2 linked regions of the Arabidopsis thaliana genome follow. The protein of the gene in region 2 interacts with the protein of the main gene of each other region in a pairwise test. Each region holds a gene or a part of one and is shown on either strand. Other genes may lie near its edges.

Evidence for each region. Proteins that work in one complex are often made in the same cells at the same time.
Region 1: the proteins of FAH1 (region 2) and CB5-B interact in a protein complementation assay, tested with the Arabidopsis thaliana proteins (one study listed by BioGRID).

What each region holds. Positions count from the first base shown.
Region 1 is NC_003071.7:13,874,035-13,882,611, forward strand, and holds CB5-B (cytochrome B5), read right to left. Parts: upstream 4,677-8,577; 5' UTR 4,414-4,676; coding exon 4,327-4,413; intron 4,325-4,326; exon of another isoform or gene 3,723-4,324; coding exon of another isoform or gene 3,636-3,722; intron 3,379-3,635; coding exon 3,312-3,378; intron 3,230-3,311; coding exon 2,979-3,229; 3' UTR 1,778-2,978; downstream 1-1,777. Other genes in the region: AT2G32710 (Cyclin-dependent kinase inhibitor family protein), read left to right, coding at 1-39, 911-1,132, 1,247-1,316; AT2G32730 (26S proteasome regulatory complex, non-ATPase subcomplex, Rpn2/Psmd1 subunit), read left to right, coding at 6,155-6,300, 6,809-6,878, 7,107-7,212, 7,521-7,629, 7,706-7,874, 8,207-8,577. UniProt on the Arabidopsis thaliana protein: Membrane bound hemoprotein which function as an electron carrier for several membrane bound oxygenases, including fatty acid desaturases.
Region 2 is NC_003071.7:14,662,408-14,670,659, reverse strand, and holds FAH1 (fatty acid hydroxylase 1), read right to left. Parts: upstream 4,994-8,252; 5' UTR 4,770-4,993; exon of another isoform or gene 4,584-4,769; intron 3,900-4,583; 5' UTR 3,885-3,899; coding exon 3,834-3,884; intron 3,682-3,833; coding exon 3,589-3,681; intron 3,481-3,588; coding exon 3,284-3,480; exon of another isoform or gene 3,151-3,283; coding exon 3,045-3,150; intron 2,968-3,044; coding exon 2,821-2,967; intron 2,719-2,820; coding exon 2,599-2,718; 3' UTR 2,410-2,598; downstream 1-2,409. Other genes in the region: MEE22 (maternal effect embryo arrest 22), read right to left, coding at 1-46, 317-1,470, 1,749-1,863, 1,951-2,007; AT2G34750 (RNA polymerase I specific transcription initiation factor RRN3 protein), read left to right, coding at 6,868-6,996, 7,118-7,207, 7,300-7,371, 7,476-7,547, 7,634-7,870, 7,962-8,072, 8,160-8,252. UniProt on the Arabidopsis thaliana protein: Fatty acid 2-hydroxylase involved in the alpha-hydroxylation of sphingolipid-associated very long-chain fatty acids (VLCFA). Probably involved in the resistance response to oxidative stress.

The DNA.
Region 1 (8,577 bases), 790 kb from region 2:
CCAAAATTTCTTCGACCTTGAAGAAGAACACACTCAAAGGTATCATCTTTCTTCATCAATTTCAACCTAATTTTTTGGGGGATTTCTTATTTTTATGAATCTGTGTGAATTTGTTCTGTTTCTTGAGAAAACTTTGGTATTGGATTTGAAAATTTCCGTTGTTAATTTGAAAAAAGGATCAATTTTTTGTCTTGTATTTGGTTAAAATTGAAACTGGCGTTTTCGATTTTGAAATTTAATGATATTTTTACCATGTGTATGATATGATGCCATCTTTTCTTTATCTGACAACACCAGACTCTTCTCTCTGTTTCCGGGAAAGAAAATATATATAATTAATCAAAAATGTGTTTCTTTTTTCTTGAGAAAGTTTTTATTTTTTCTTCAATTACTTTGAAGAAGGTGATAGTGACTATTGTTTTTTCTTCAGACTTTTTATCTGCTTTCATGTAAAGAATGTTGGATTTGTGTTTGAAATGTCTCTGTAAGTAACTCTTTAAAGTTTGGTTCGTTTTTGGGATTCTGCAAAGTATATGATGTGTCTCTGTAACATCTTAAGTTCTAGTTTCTCTGTCTTTTAATTTTTCTTGCTGTTTGGTTGTTTTTTGATGTTATGATTTCAGTCTAAAGTCGTGATCTTGTTGAACATTGTATGAGTCATTAACTTTTCAAGCATTGCTGAAGTAATCTTCATTGGAAGTTTCTTCTTTGGTTTTATGCTTTGTGAACTTTGAACCACAAATCAACAAGGAGTTTCTCCTTGTCCTTTTTTCAGTTAAACATGACTTGCTTAGTTTTAGTTATCTATATGCAATAAAGTTTGCTTGCTTTTGCTGCTAATTAAGGAAACACGGTTATGTGCTTTTTCCTTGAGAGCATTGTATGAAAGTAACATATTACTTACTCTCAGCTTCAACAGGACCACAAGGGAATCCACACCATGCAGTTTGATAAGAAGGCCTGAAATCATGACAACCCCGGGATCGTCTACAAAGCTTAACATTTGTGTAAGTGAAAGCAACCAGAGAGAAGACAGTTTGTCACGCAGCCATCGTCGCCGACCAACTACACCTGAAATGGACGAGTTTTTCTCGGGTGCTGAAGAAGAACAACAGAAGCAATTCATTGAGAAGTATGTGTTTCCTCGTTTCATCTGTTCTGTTCTTTTGGTTATGAGTTTCCAGTTTGTTCTGTTCTTCTCTTTTGGTCTTGTGTCTCTAATGGTTTCTGTCAACTCTTTCTTCAGGTACAACTTTGATCCTGTGAACGAACAACCACTACCAGGACGGTTTGAATGGACGAAGGTAGATGATTAGAAACAACAAAAAAATGGGGGGTTAATAGTTAATACAGAATATATTAACATTTTCCTGCTAATTATCGGTTTGATCTTATTACCATCATCCGTTTTCTTAACTTTTTCAACATGTAAAGAGCTTAGGAGAAAAAACCCATGTAGTGTTTTTAAATTGGTGTCTGTAACATAAGTGGCTGAAAAGGGTTTGTGTAACAGAACTTGATACCAATCCTTTTTAAGCCTATACAGATCACCTTAGTAGTAGTACTAAAGCCATAAGAGAAGGTTTTTAGAAGTAACCCAAAGTCTGTTTAGGGTTTAGCGTTTAGGGTTTAGAGTTCTTTCGGTTTAAGGGTCAGTGTTTTCTTTTATGAATTCCGGTACAGGGGGACTCTGCATTCTCTTAAAACTCTTTGTCCTGTAACCATTTTAAAAAATCTATCCTTTTATGTGTATACATGTACTGATCTCAAACTCTTTTCAATAAAGACTTATCCTTCTCTTTTTTGTTCTCTTCATCTTAAGTTCTTGTTCTTATCATCATCATCATTATGGTCCATGTGTTGTGTTCTTCAGACATATAACATCACAATGACAGGTAGGTAATACATGTCTATATATACACAATTGTATACTGATAATAGAGAGACAGAGAAGCTGTTCGTTATGGATATGGATAGTGTCTCATAGTGGTCTTTGTTTTGTCTCTGTCTTCTCACTAAAATCAAAAGTGTTAGAAAAAGATTCTCTTTCTCTTTCTCTTGCTCTTGTGTGAGTCCATTGTACTTTCCACTCTGTGAGATTTGTGCCCACTATATTATCTTAAATATGTAATTCGTACCCACTCACTACATATCATCATCATCATCATCATTATGGTGATCGTCTTTTGATCAATCATCGAAACTTCGTCGCGTCTTTGCTTGTCATAAGATTCGTTTTCTGATTGTATTGATTTGAGTCTACACACGACAACGTTTTGAATGAAACAGTCCATAGTTGTCAACTTGCCACAGAATCCATTCCAATCTTTACTTAAATGAAATTTATTGCTCTCGAAGTTACAAGTATCGAACTTTGTGTCTGCGGTTGCGACTTCTTGCGGCCAAAGCGGTAAAGAGGTACAAAAAGAGGGTCCTACAGTTGCAGAAGAGTTTTTGGATTCTTCGTGTGGATATGTTTTTGTGAGCTCAAGTCACTAACTGCCACACACTCTATCAAGTAACTGCCAAAACAAACGTCTCTTTCTCTTTGGAATTCGTAATCTGTTGTTTTTGTTTCTCCTTTTCTCAAAGTTAATTAAGTGTTCTCTTAAGCATTCAATTAGTAAGATCATGGCCTTGTTTTGATAGTTCCTTGGTTACTTTTCTTCTACAGATCTCAAACAATACTAAACCAGACTTTCAAAACAGATCACTTATTAGTCATAACTTCGGTTTCAGAATCTGAAATATAGATGAGATGTTCATTAGTTGCATAAGGCAAAAACACCAACAAGACTGTTGTTTATATGCAGTTACACCACAATAGATAAGAAATTATCCAAAATACATTCAAACAGCAAAATATGGGAAGAGACAATAACAAAGGGAGAGACTTTCAGATTTGTCTTTTCAAAAGACTTGAATCTTTCTCTCTATATATAAGATATAAGGAAGTAATGCTCAGAAAAAAAAGAAGCCTACCCTGATTTGGTGTAGATACGGATTCCGACTGCTAAACCAAGAATGGCAAGGGGTACGAGGAACTGGAGGAGCTTGATTATGAATTCAGAGGTCTTGTCTTGATTGTAGTGAGGCTGTTTAGGAGGTGTGTATTTGACTTTCTTTGGTATTGTTGTTGGATCAATCTCTCCTACGTAGTACTGCTCCATCATTTCTCTTGCACTCTCGCTGTGACCCACGTCCTCAAAATCATCCGTTGCATCCTTACCTGAAAAGAGAATAAGAATCAAAAACCGATGGATTGATCTCCACTAAGCCGGGAGCATGGTGATAGTTGTGTTTATACAGACCTGTTGAAGACAAGAGAACATCGTCCCCACCTGGATGGTCTTCAAGAAACTTGGTCACATTGTACACCTGCATTTTTTTGCAAATGTGTGAAGTTAGGAGAGGCAAATGAAACCCAATTACAGAACTTCTGAACTTTGAAGATTTCTTGTCAAATCAAGAAGTTTAAAACATGGGAAGATCCACTTCTGAGGCTTATGATTAAAATGTAAGAAACAATGGAGCAACAAAAAGAAAAGTTCTTAGGTTATCGCTTTCTTTGGACTAAACAAGATATGGTGCATATAACTCTAAAAATCAAACAATAGGAATAGAAAGATGAATACTTGAAACAAATTACTGTACCAACAACCAAGTCCAGAGATACATTTGGGATCTTCTGAACTTGATAAAAAGGATTGTTCTGTGTACATAGCAAACTTGTTGCACAGAGGTAAACTCCCAAAAAAAATGAACTTAAGTGACAATATTAATAAGAAACATAAACTACTGATGGAACAACAGACCAAAACATTTAATGTTTCCTACTTTCTTGTGATAATCTACTGATTTCACAAACCAATCAATGAAGAAAACAAAAATCAAGTTCACTATGAAGGGAGGCTCAAGGATGTATCTACAGATTCCTTCACAAGTTAATAATCACAATACAAAAACGATCGATCTTCAGGGCAAACAACTAATCGACAAGTGTCAGTAGTCCATCCCAAGAAAGGTTGATGTCGATCAAACAAACTCTAAAGACAATAAGAACTATTTCTACATTTCTCCATCTTCAATCAAAATTAGAAAATTTTCAGCTGATAAATAGATCAAAAGAGCTAAATCTTCAGCATAAGCTTAATAACTACACCATTTTCTACTCTCTCTACCCATCTAAAGATTTGATCTGATAATTTTAGACTTAGAAATCTGAGACTTCAAAAGCTTAATCTCATGCAAACACCAAAAGGGGAAACTTTGAAGCACGAGATCTCTAATTTCAGAGGTGAGAATAAGGAGAAAGAAGAATGAAACCTTTCCATTGATGACAATCCAACAGTCATGAGCTTGATTATGCTCTGAAACTTCTGAAAGAGTGAAGATCTTTGCTTCGTCTCCCATTGTTTGTTTGATTCTTGTCTACCAGAATTAACCCACCAAAACCTGACTCTGAGACTTAAAGCTCAAAACTTTATACAAGAGTGTGAGAGAGAGTTGTTGAGTTAAAGACCATTTGACGAATCAGTTAAATTCCGGTTTAATTTGGTTCGTTCTCAAAGTAATCGGTTGGTGAGTTTTGGAAGCTTTGAAAACCGGTTTAATGAAAATTGATTTTGAGTTTGTTCTCACATAGTCTGTACCTAATTGCTGCTCTACTGTTTTGGCCTTATGGTATTCATCTGTACGATTTTGAAAACATATGTGCCAATGTTGAACCGATGGGTTAAGTGGTTTGGTAGTAGTTGTTATTTCCGGTTGAGTGGATGGGGTAGGTAGGTAGGCAGTGCAAATGTTGCGGTTGTGCGCTCTAATTCTGCCTTTTTCATTCAAGATCGGTAGGTGAATGATGTGCAATAAATTTTATTATGGTACATATGAATTCTTTTCTCATAAGTAATATTTATGTAGTTTTATATTAGTAGATACAACTACATAAGAAAAATAAATTGCCGCTGCTTCATACCAACTGACCTTATTTATTAGGGACACAAATCTTTTTCTTTCTAAAGCTTATATAAAATGTACATATTATTCAAAATCAATAGATTGACCGGTGAATTTCTGACCTTGTAAACGAAAAGAGGTCTGAGAAGTTTCAAATTTGAACCATCGACAATGAAAAAAATACATTAGCCATGTTCTCTAGAGAAAAACAAGCAGGTTAACCAAAAGATTAGAACCATCATTTTCTTTATGTTTTTTAGTACCAAATAATGTTATTAAAAGAAAAAGTTATACTTTTAGGACCACCAAATCTTTTTCAATACTAAAAATTGTTGCTTTGAAAATATTAAATACAATTTACACATTAAAAAAAACTAATATATATATAATTTTAAAATGAACAATAAATATAAATAACTAAAATCGTGTTTGTTTGTTCATACACTATTTTCATTGAACTTCTGATACGATAAACAGATAACTAAAAAAAAAATTGAATGCATATGTTTTTGAATTACATCTTGAAATGATTTATAAGCTAAATAACTAGATGACTTTGTTACATAATCGAGCTAATGGTCGACCACACCATCATCATAGTTTACGCTTACCATTTCGTGTAATGAGCTGAATCGATTTATGATAATTTTGTTTATAAAATTTGATTAACCGACTGTAAGTTTATTAATTTCTCTATGATGCCTTGCATATCTCTATAAAGCTTTGTATTATGTTCTGAATTGCAACACATTTTATTGATATGATATGATGATAATTTAGCAATTAGGGTATCCTAAAAGCTCCTAAAACTTAAAATTGTATGACCAACCAATTTTGTAAAAGCAATAAGGAGTTTTTGTAAATCTTCAAAATATATTGGATCCATAACTCAATAACACAAAACTTGAGACTAAAATCATAATAAAGCTATACATTCGGGGCAGTTTTTAATATCCTGACTTGTTGGGTAAGTCTCTAAATATTCGTAGTTTGCATCCAAGTCCCTGACTTACTATCTTCTCCCAAATCTCCTTTTATTTTTACTTTCGTCCTATAAACTAAAATAAATAAGGAAAACACTCTTCTTCAAATCCAGTAGAGAGATTCAAGACGAGTCTCATCGAAAGTTCGAATCTTTCGTCATCTGATTAGCTTTCTCTTAGGGTTTATTTCGATTTCGATTTAGTGTTCTCCATCAATGGCGACACCCATGGTTAGTTCCGCTGGAGGATTACTAGCAATGCTCAACGAGCCTCATCCTGTTTTGAAGCTTCATGCGCTCTCTAACCTCAACAATTTGGTTGACCAATTCTGGCCTGAGATCTCCACTAGTGTCCCCATCATGTAATTCTCTTTTAAACCCTTTTTTTCCGGTTTGAGATTTAGGGTTTTGTTCTCTCACTTGATCTGTTTTTTTATTCGGGATATTCTAGAGAAGATTGTGGGATTTGGATTGTTTGAGCTGTGGTTGTGTGTAGGTCTTCTCGATTTGGGTATTAAAGTTCAAAATTTTGAGTGAGGGATTGATAGTTTGTGGCGATGCAGATTCAATGGGTAGGATAAGAAAAGTAAAGTTTTTTATTTTACATGACTAGCTTTAGCAAGTTCTGTAGTGATCTTTATAGATTATGAATGAGTAATTGTATCTAACTTCTTCCTGGACATGATTATGTTCTTTTACTCATGTAATGTAAAGGCTTGGATTCGTTTTGGTTTATCATCGTACATTCTAGTGGTATAGATTCCAGTTGTAGAGGCTGTGCTGGCGCAATGCTTAGGGTTTTATGATAATCTCTCTTTAATGATTTGCACTACTTGACAGCTTGACTCGAGAGAATTTTTTTTTTTACAGTGAGAGTTTATATGAAGATGAAGAATTCGATCTGCATCAAAGACAGCTTGCTGCTTTGCTGGTCTCTAAGGTGCGATTTCACGATTGTTAAACTTAAGTTTTGTCTAGTTGCGGATAATATTTGCTATATGTTAGTGGAGGAATGTTTAATTGTTGCTCTGAATACATTATGGTTATTTTTCTCCTTAAGAGCTGGTGGATAGTGGTAGAATTTTGGGACGTAGCCTTTTTCTAATCACGTTATATGTTTGTTTTACAAGATATGGGTTTCTTGATGATCGTGGTTGTTTTATCGCAGGTTTTCTATTACTTGGGCGAGCTTAATGATTCGCTGTCTTATGCCCTAGGAGCCGGTCCCTTATTTGATGTTTCAGAGGATTCTGATTATGTTCATACGCTTCTGGGTGAGGATTGAGAAGTTTGTTGATGTTTTTACTCTCTTCATGCTGTTCTCTGTCTGTAGACTCTAGCTAGGGTAACTGTTTAATGCAAATTGCTTACCAAATCAACTTGTCTCAACTCTCAAGGCAAGAAAAGCCTATATAGCCTGCACGACTTATTATCTTAAAAGTAGACTTGAAGCTTGTACATCCAGATATTGTTCTGCCTTTAAGTAGTATAATACTAGAAAAAGACAGATAAGTTGACTATTTGAGTTTTAATAAATGCTGGATGAATGTATACTCATCAGATGCTTCTTTTAAAATTTCAGCCAAAGCAATAGACGAATATGCCAGTCTCAGATCAAAGGCAGTTGAGTCAAATGAGATGGTGGACATTGATCCCAGGCTAGAGGCGATTGTTGAAAGAATGCTTGGAAAGTATGCAATGCTTATACATTTAATGCTCTTGTTTTCATAGTGCTTCAATTCTTCTTACATGGTTTTCCTTCTGCAGATGCATCAGTGATGGGAAGTATCAACAAGCCATGGGCATTGCGATAGAATGCCGGAGATTGGATAAGTTGGAAGAAGCTATCATTAAGAGCGATAATGTTCAGGGAACTTTATCATATTGCATCAATGTTTCTCATTCCTTTGTCAACCGCAGAGAGTACAGACATGAGGTGAGACTGATGTTCTTAGACAATAGTTAAGTAGAAAGGTGTTCTAATTCTATCGACTGATTAGAACTGTATAGTTTTGCCTCATCTGGAAGATAATGTGACCATTTAGTTTCTATGTTGCATCTTCCATTACCATGCCTGCAAACATGTATGCTAGCATCCTCTATGTCCTAAGCTGTAGCCAAAAGTCCTGTTTCAGTTTTCGTGATACCTATCTGAGATGTGTCAAGGCCTGAATTAAAAAAATCTCCCTTTTCTAGGTCTTTTAGTCTAGGCTGTTTAGTTTAGTCTTTATTTAAAAAAGGTGATGACATACTTGTCTACTCTTTCAGGTGCTTAGTTTACTTGTAAAAGTCTACCAGAAGCTGCCCTCTCCTGATTATTTGAGCATTTGTCAATGCCTCATGTTTTTGGATGAACCGCAAGGTGTTGCAAGCATATTGGAGAAGCTTCTTCGCTCAGAGAACAAGGATGATGCTTTATTGGCATTGCAAATTGCATTTGATCTTGTAGAGAACGAGCACCAGGCCTTTCTCTTGAGTGTTAGAGATCGCCTTCCAGCTCCCAAAACACGTGCTGTAGAAGCAACTCAGGCTGTTGAAACAACTATTGCTCCTAATGAGAACCCTTCGGGAGATGTTCAGATGGCAGATGAAACTCCAGCTCAGACAATTGTGCATGAGACGGATCCAGTTGATGCTAC
Region 2 (8,252 bases):
GGTTCTTCTGTGAATTTAGCGTCAGCAGTTTCCTGCATCCTGTAGCCTGCATAGCAATAAGATGAGCATAAGGAGACTAAAAAGGAATTAAAATAATCAAAAACAGCAACGTATAAAAGTGGTATGATGCTGTAAATAAACCATGTTAAGATAAAGGTCACTATTCCAAATATTAAAACATTTTTTTGGGTTGTCATCTTCTATAGTCAGATTCACCTTCTATGTATCAAATTTCATAACATGTCTATGGTCATCAAGCCAATTTTCAAATAACGATAAGGAGACAAAGTGTACAAAAACTATGGCAGAAACAAACCTTTCCAAGGCCAGCTGTACCTTCAACGTCTGTTGAAAAATACTCATCCAGTAGATTCATGCGATTCGTAAGACTACCGAACTCCAGTTTCAACCGACCTAGCTCTTCGCACTGAAATTCCCTTCGAAACTTTTCAAATTTAGCCACTGTTTGGGAGTGTTTTGCACAATTTCTCTCAAACTTCATCTTTTTTTTCAAAAGCCTCATTTCAGCCTTTTCCAGGTCTCTGACTTTCTGAGGAGAAATAGAGTGAGTCTTGATGGATTTCTGGGAAAGTGAAAGCTCATGCACTTGTTTCTTCAAACCTTCAGCGACTAATTGCGCTTCTTGTAACTGTTGAGTCAGATCATCAGTACGAGATTTCCAGTCCATGGCTGTTTTTTTATTCATCTCAAGGAGCCTTATCTTCTCTTCCAGCTTTTCCGAGTTTTCAGCAAACTTCACTTGGCTACTAGCGGTCTGCGATTCCATTTCTTTCTTGAGCTCTTCATTTCTTGCTCTAACGATTTCAAACTTCTTAGACACATCTTCTGCCAGCTTCATCTGGTCCCTAGCTTTTGCACTCTCCATATCTGCACGTTTTTTCTCTTTCAGTGTCTTCTGTTTTTCAAGCTCAAGCTGCTTTTTTACAGTCTCAAGATTGGAGGTCAAAGTAAGTAAATCAGAACTAGTCTTATGAGCTGAATTTCTTAACACCTCCAACTCCGAAAGATACTTATCAGCTTTCTTTTTCTCTGATTCTGCTTTCTTCCTCTCTGACTCTGTCTTCTGTCTCTCACTAGCAAGAAGATTTTTAACCAGACTTATTTCCCTTTTTACTTCAGGAATATCTTGCTCGATTTCCTCATCTTTTACTATCAGAGCCTTTGCCTTGTTCAGTTCCTTAAAAGCATGTTCCCTCTCTTCTTCAGAACTATCTGCCCTTAATGTTTCTTTCTTAAGGAGATCCCTCAGTTCATTGATCTCCTTTTCTCGACCAGAAGCTTGATCCTGAAGAAGCTTTGTTTCTTCACTTTTTTCTTTAAGGTTCCGCTCCAGTTTTTGTTGCAAAGACACTATCTCAAACTTCAAACGAGATATTTCTTTCTCCAAAGATGCTTTCACAGTTGAACCATTTTCCTTAGTATCTCCGTCAGTCGCCATCTCCCCAAATTCTGTAGGATTCAGCAGATAGACCAGTAAAAAAATCAAAATTAAGATTTGGAACTGTAGTAACAACAACATCTTTCCAACCAAGCCACAAAGCCCAGTTTTAAAGCATACCATAATTCAATCATAATCGCCAAAGAATCATCAATTGGAGAATTAGCTACATCAAATCAAAGGCATAACAATGGATCATGTACCATAAACAAAATTAATCAGTAACAGAAACACAACACATCAAAAGGGAGCGAGCTAATCTCTGCCACAAGGAGTAAAAGGAACTTACTTCTCTCGAGATTGGATTTTTCAGCATTAACATTTTCTATAGCCTTCTGGAGAAGAGTTACTCCTTCTTTAAAAGCATCTCGCCTCTTCTTCATTCCTATGTACTTCCCTTGCCACTGAAATACAATCAAAGGAAGACGAGAATAAGATTTCTTTGAAGAAAAGCACTAAACAACATAAATGGACAAAAATCGAATACATACAGCGAGGCAGCAAGGGTTTCCTGAAGCTAGCTCAGGTGGAGCATTGGTCGTCGCCATTGCCAGGAAAATTATTCCGATTGTGGAATAAAATCTCACATAAATTGAAAATTCATCGCCATGAGAGTGAGGGGGAGAAACTAATAGAGAACGAAAATCAAAAACCCTAAACCCTAATTTTCAGTGAGCAGAAGAAAGAAGGAAGAGTGCAGTCAGTTTGAGAAGAAGGAATCGAGGAGGAGTCAGATTAGACCTCGAGCGATTTGGATTTCCGGGCGGGTCGGTGAGTGAGTGTTGATTTTATTTCTTTACCCAGGCCCAGCCCAATAACGATTTTTTTTAATTTTTAGTTTCTCTTCCCATATTTGGTTGTCTTTTTTAAACTTCGGATATTTATTGCAAAATGTCTGTCAATTCAAGAAATATATATATGGCCAAAGTCAAGACACAGATGTTCATGTTAGTAGATTTTTTATTGCTTTCGCAGAAAAATATTATATTAGGATTGTGAAGTATTGATTTACAAACTACAAAAGACAGTGATCCAAATGAAACCTCAGATTAAACATCTCAAAATTCAGAAGGATGATTAATAACTTAAGATTAAATTAAATGTATTACAAACATCTTTTTAGTTTTTGCCTTTTACTACTATTGCTCTTTTCTGGGGGCTTTTGTGGTGGGAAGTGTCCCAAAGACTATGTCCCATAACGACGAAGTTATACCAAATCCTTTGTCCTGAATCCTGAAGTGATGATTCAAATGGTACTTCTGCAGAATCATAAGAAAAAACATAACAAATAAGCTCTCTTTATGCAATCCGGATACAAAAGAAAAGAAAGTCCCAGGTTTTGAGACTTGACATTGTTTTACCTTGAGATTTTTGGTCACTGGTCTAGTAGGTTGGGCATGGTGAAGGTAATAATGAGTGACATCGTACATCACATATCCGAGCATGCCTCCACCAAACAATGCAGGTGCGGTTGAAGGAGTTGAGATAGCCTTCGCAATGTTCCAGAACTAGGACACAAGAAAAGAAAACGGTTTAGGGTTGGCGCTGAAAACATGTAGAATGGTGGGTTAATGTAGATAAATACCGGAAAGCATAAAATCGCTGTTGCAGTAGGAGGAAAGACGAGCCGAAGGTGGTCCATCGGGTGCTTATGATGGCATCCGTGAATAAGATAGTGTGCAGTGTTTCCCCTGGAGTGGTTTCACAAAATCATTAGCATCTGACCGAAGTCATGTTTCCAGGAATTTGTCTGTTTGAGGAGGATTCATAGGAGAGTACTGTCTCTATGAAATGTAACACAGAGAGAGGGAGAAAGTGACTAACCAGTAACTCTTCGTTTTTATGTGGAAAACGAACCGGTGAAGAACGTATTCAAAAAATGTCCAGATGAATATTCCCATGACAACAATTGGGACGATTTCTGGAAGTGAACATCCCATACTTACTGACCTTGATATGCACCAGACTACAACTGGCAACCAAATGACAGGAACTGCCCACCAAACTGTAAGTGTCAAGAACTGTTTCATTGCAAATACGTCAGAGAATGGAGATCAGAGTCTCATTGACATTGCTTATTATTGATATTGGAAATTGAGAATGAGAAAAGATGAAAATAAAATATATACCTCCCAAAAGTCACTCTGAAAAAACCGAGGGCCTTCCTTGGTCGCGATAGGTTGGTGAACCCATTCCTCATAATCTTCTCCAAGATGACCAACCTGTAAAACATCCAAAGCAATGGCAGGAGGGGTTAAAGAGAGAGCGTTACTTTGATTAGCTCTAAGAAAGAAACGAAGACAATCTTGGGTGACTATGGTCTCAAGGAAAATGTTGACATAAACTATTTAAAACCCTGGGAAACAGTAATTACCTGAAATACAAGGGGCTTTTTAAGATCCACAGTGAATCCCTGAGCAACCATTTTGCAGACCTTTTACTGATTTTGAAAAAAAATGAAACAGACGATCAAGAGAAGAATATGATCCAACTATGTCTATATTGATCAGAAACGCATAGTAACAAACACCAGAGGTCCTTTTCAACAGGTCGTATAGGTAAATTTACAGATCCTCTTCACTATCATAACCAGATTAGAGGCCTGAATCTTAAGCATTACTTCTTAAATGACTAAGAAAACGACAGGGGTCTACTGTTTGGCAAGATAACCAACCTAATTGCTCTTAATATTAATACCAAACTCACTTATCCAATTATATATACTCGATAAATTAGTCCCAAAAATCGAAATTCCTAGCACAAAAAGCAAGTATTAGATGAAAGAAAAATACTAATCATTTAAAAACATAGAATGTATGAACAGAGCTCCCTCTCACTCATTTCCCTCCAGGACCCACCACCAAATATATATACAAGTAAACTACCCAAATAAATCAACTCACAAGTTAACATCAAGGAAACAAAAAAACACACAGTTCCTAATTGAGTTGAGACACATAATCTATTAAAGAGAAAAATGGCTTAACCAAAAGTTCTTTTCAATTGAATCATTCACTATTGTTGCAGTGAGAAACAATGAGGCTCAAAAAATAAATTCACATGTTTTCGAGACACCTTCCTTTCTAGCAACAATTGAGCATTTTTTATTTAGCCTTCAATAACAATGCGTAAACAAAGTTTTAAGATAGTTATGATTCGTTTTTTGAGAGTCAATAACAAAAATTATCCGATCTAAACCACTAAACATCAAATCAATGGAAATCTCAATGTTTCCAGAAAAATGAAATCTATCTAGAGAGGAAAGGAAACAAATACGGATTCAAGAGAATAGATTCGAATAGAAACGAACCTGATGGATCTCAGCGACTCGAGACGGAAGAGAGAATCGCCGAGATTGTGAATGAATCGCCCCGGCCCTGTTTTGGAGGTTTGCGTTGGTGTGTGTGTGAGAATTAGATAGAGAAAACAAGGTCGGTGTAATATATCTTCTAGATGGAATCTGGACCGTTGATTGTGAGAGATGCCTTAGATCTCGGAGGCCAACGAATCGTCAATATATTCAAAAAAAACAACGGCTGTGCCAGGTTGTTGCTCTTTTGGCTCTCTTCATACATTAGCTGTTCATAGCCTCGTCTTGTCACTTGTCGTCGCACTTATAGGATTCCCAATTTTGTACGTTGCCACAAATAAACAACATTACACTATATATATTACAAATTCAACTTATATGGAAAAGAAAAAAAATACTAGGATACTCATACACTGTGTGGACGATTACATTTTAGACTTCGAATTATTGGTCTTCTGCCAACAATGTCAAAAGATTTTATTGACTGCTTTAATCATTTTCCATAGAGCAATGAGAAAGTCAAGGATTAAAGTCGGTCTCTTCTTGAGTAAATATTAAATTCGAAGATTGTGGCAGCTAGATAATAATCATACTTTCGATTTTCTTATTGAGTAAAATAAAATTTGTAAATGATTAATTCATTATGCTTATTTTTAGGATTTTGATGCGGCCTCTTATGATGTAGAATCATTCACTACCAGTACACGTGACCAGTGTCAAGCATAGTGTTTGATTATAATTATTTTATTTGCTTTAGTACTATAGAATGTTTCTTTAATGCTTAAAATCCACGATTAATATAGCTCACTCGACGACGCTGGTGTGATGACAATTGATTAGTCTTTGTCTTTTATGTCTAACTTAGAGATTTGACAACGGAGCTTAAATAGTCAGCATAATGAAACAGAAGATAGAAATGAAAGTAGTAGTGATACGGTTAATCAAATGTTTGGTTAGCACTTTTTCCAGAAAAATGGGTTGGTTCCATTTCACAAATGTAAAAGAAGTAAGATATTGGTTATATCAGCCTGATGTTGAGATAAGCTTTCTTGCATTGGTACACAGAAGAAGGAATGGACGAGATGGAGTTTAATGAAGCAGAGAGTAACATGAACGATCTTGTGGCTGAGTATCAGCAATATCAAGATGCTACAGCTGATGAAGAGGAGTATAAAGAGGAGATGGATGAAGATGCTGACCTCGATGCTTGAGATTTTTAGATCTTTAAATGGAGTTGTTTTCTTTTCGTATCCGCTGGCTTTGATTGCTCTTTTGTCTGTTGTTTTGGGTGTAAAAATTGTAATGAGAAACTAATTTGTATGTGTGTTGGCCCTAATCTTTTCTCGTTTTGGTTTATATATATCTGGTTTGGTCTTATTTAGTTATGGTTATGTGAGCAATCAAAGTAGACCAATTAACCAAAAATAATGTCTATAGTTCACTTACTTAAATTAAGTAAAAATTTGTGTTTGTCACACGACAGAAACATAGAAAACAAAATTTGATGTAATGACGACAATAGTGAAGAAAAAAAAAGATGGAATTAAAGAAATAGGAAAAAGTAAGTGTGAACCCTAAACGTCTCCTATTATTTATCGATTATCGCCGTCTTTCATCAGAATCTGCTCCTTCTCTATTTTTCTTCTCCAAGAAAAAACCATAGCGAAGGAGTAAAAAACGAAGGCCGGAATTATCAGAACGGGACAGTGACAAGGGTTTCCCTGAGCTGACGGACCCTTTCAATTATTCATCCTCGTGAGTTCTCTCACCGTCGTATTTTGTGTCTTTATACTAGTTTTCTCTTGTAAAATCTGTAATCAATGGAGATTTTACTTGGTTACATCGATTCTTATAGCTCTCCTTTCCCTATTTTCGCAGCTGATAGTCTATATAGCTTCAATACTTAACATTTAGTCTAAATTCAGAGACTTTTCCAGATATTGTTTCTAGTGAGTTTAAATTGAGTGTTTATGGTGTCTTGAGTATAAGTTAATGTTGAAAGTTTTGAGATTTCTTAATACTTCTCTTGTCCATCAGGAAAGTTCCACACTTTCGGCAACTTGAAGTAGCAGCACGATTTACATTAAGTCCAGAGAGGATGGGAGCAGTAGAGCTTATGAGTGATCCATCGAGCTTATGCACAGTCGAGAACTATGTGGACAACGTTGATTTATCTGATACGCAATTGGTGCAGACCGTGAGAAAGGCTCTTACATCTGTCAAAACTGTGAGTGTTGTGCAAGTTTTGCTTCTTCCTCTGCTTATGTGTTTACAGTTATATATATTTGATGCTATATTATCTGTTATGCTTCTTGATACTAGTTTTATTAATTCTTTGCTAATGACAGGGGGACTCAGACCTTTATAGTGAGATGGTTGGAGTTATGGCACGGGACATCAAAGAATTTAAGGATCCTGATGTAGTGGCGCAGCTTGAGGTGTGATCTATTCTTTGTATGGCAATCAATTCTTTCTTATTTGTTCTTTTTCTGTTTGCTAAAGTGTTTTCATTTTTCAATTGAACTGGCAGACAGTCTTGAAAGCTCTATCAGGCGCTGTGGCTTGCATAGATGTCCTTCACCATCAAAAGCTTCTTTCTGCGGTAAGTTTCTATTGCACGAGCTTACAATTGCTTCCAATTTAAATAGTTTTAAGATGGATCCTCCCAAATCTTACCCTGGATTTCATCCCAATTGTTATGTCTAGCTTTTTCGAATGAAATTGTGGGACCACAGACCTGATGTCATGGATGCATTGGTGAACCTTGTCATATCACTGGTACACAACTCAACATTTACCCGCCTATTGTTATTAGTCTAGATGAAGAGCTAGACCATTTAACTTTTGCCTTTTTTCCATCGCAGGCTGTCACTAGTGGAAAGTATTTAGACTCTTGTCTGAATATGCTCGTAAGCAACTTCGTTCCACCTCCTTGGGTAGTGAATAACCTTTCGCACTCCCGTATACTAAACAAGAAGATAGACGTTCTTTCTCGGGTGCATGCAGCGCTTCTGAAAATCTCTATTTTGGTTCCTCTTACTCCCTCAAGATTAGTGCCAATGCTCTTCCAGCAAATGCCCAAGATGCACAAAAAGGACCATGTGAGTCTTTCTTTTTGGTAAATTTTGGACAATTTAGTTGTAAGCTCATACTGGCGATAAACTCATACGAAACTATCTTACCGCCTTGCAGTCGATAGTGATATATGTGGAGAGCTTATTAAAATTGGAGAATAGCTCAATAGGGCAAGTTGGTGGCAGCATGATTCTTGGTATGGTGATGGAGAGGCTGCGAGATTTGGATGTAAGTAGACAGAATATGCTTATACAATTGAGGTCAGTAAGTAATGTGGTATTGGTGAGTGAATGATATGCTGGTGTATCCTTGTAGTTAGAGATTGAATGGGATGATATTCCACAAGATGACTCTAGTAGAGGAATGTTTGATATGGAACTTGAAGATGCAGCTGAAGGCACTATGAAT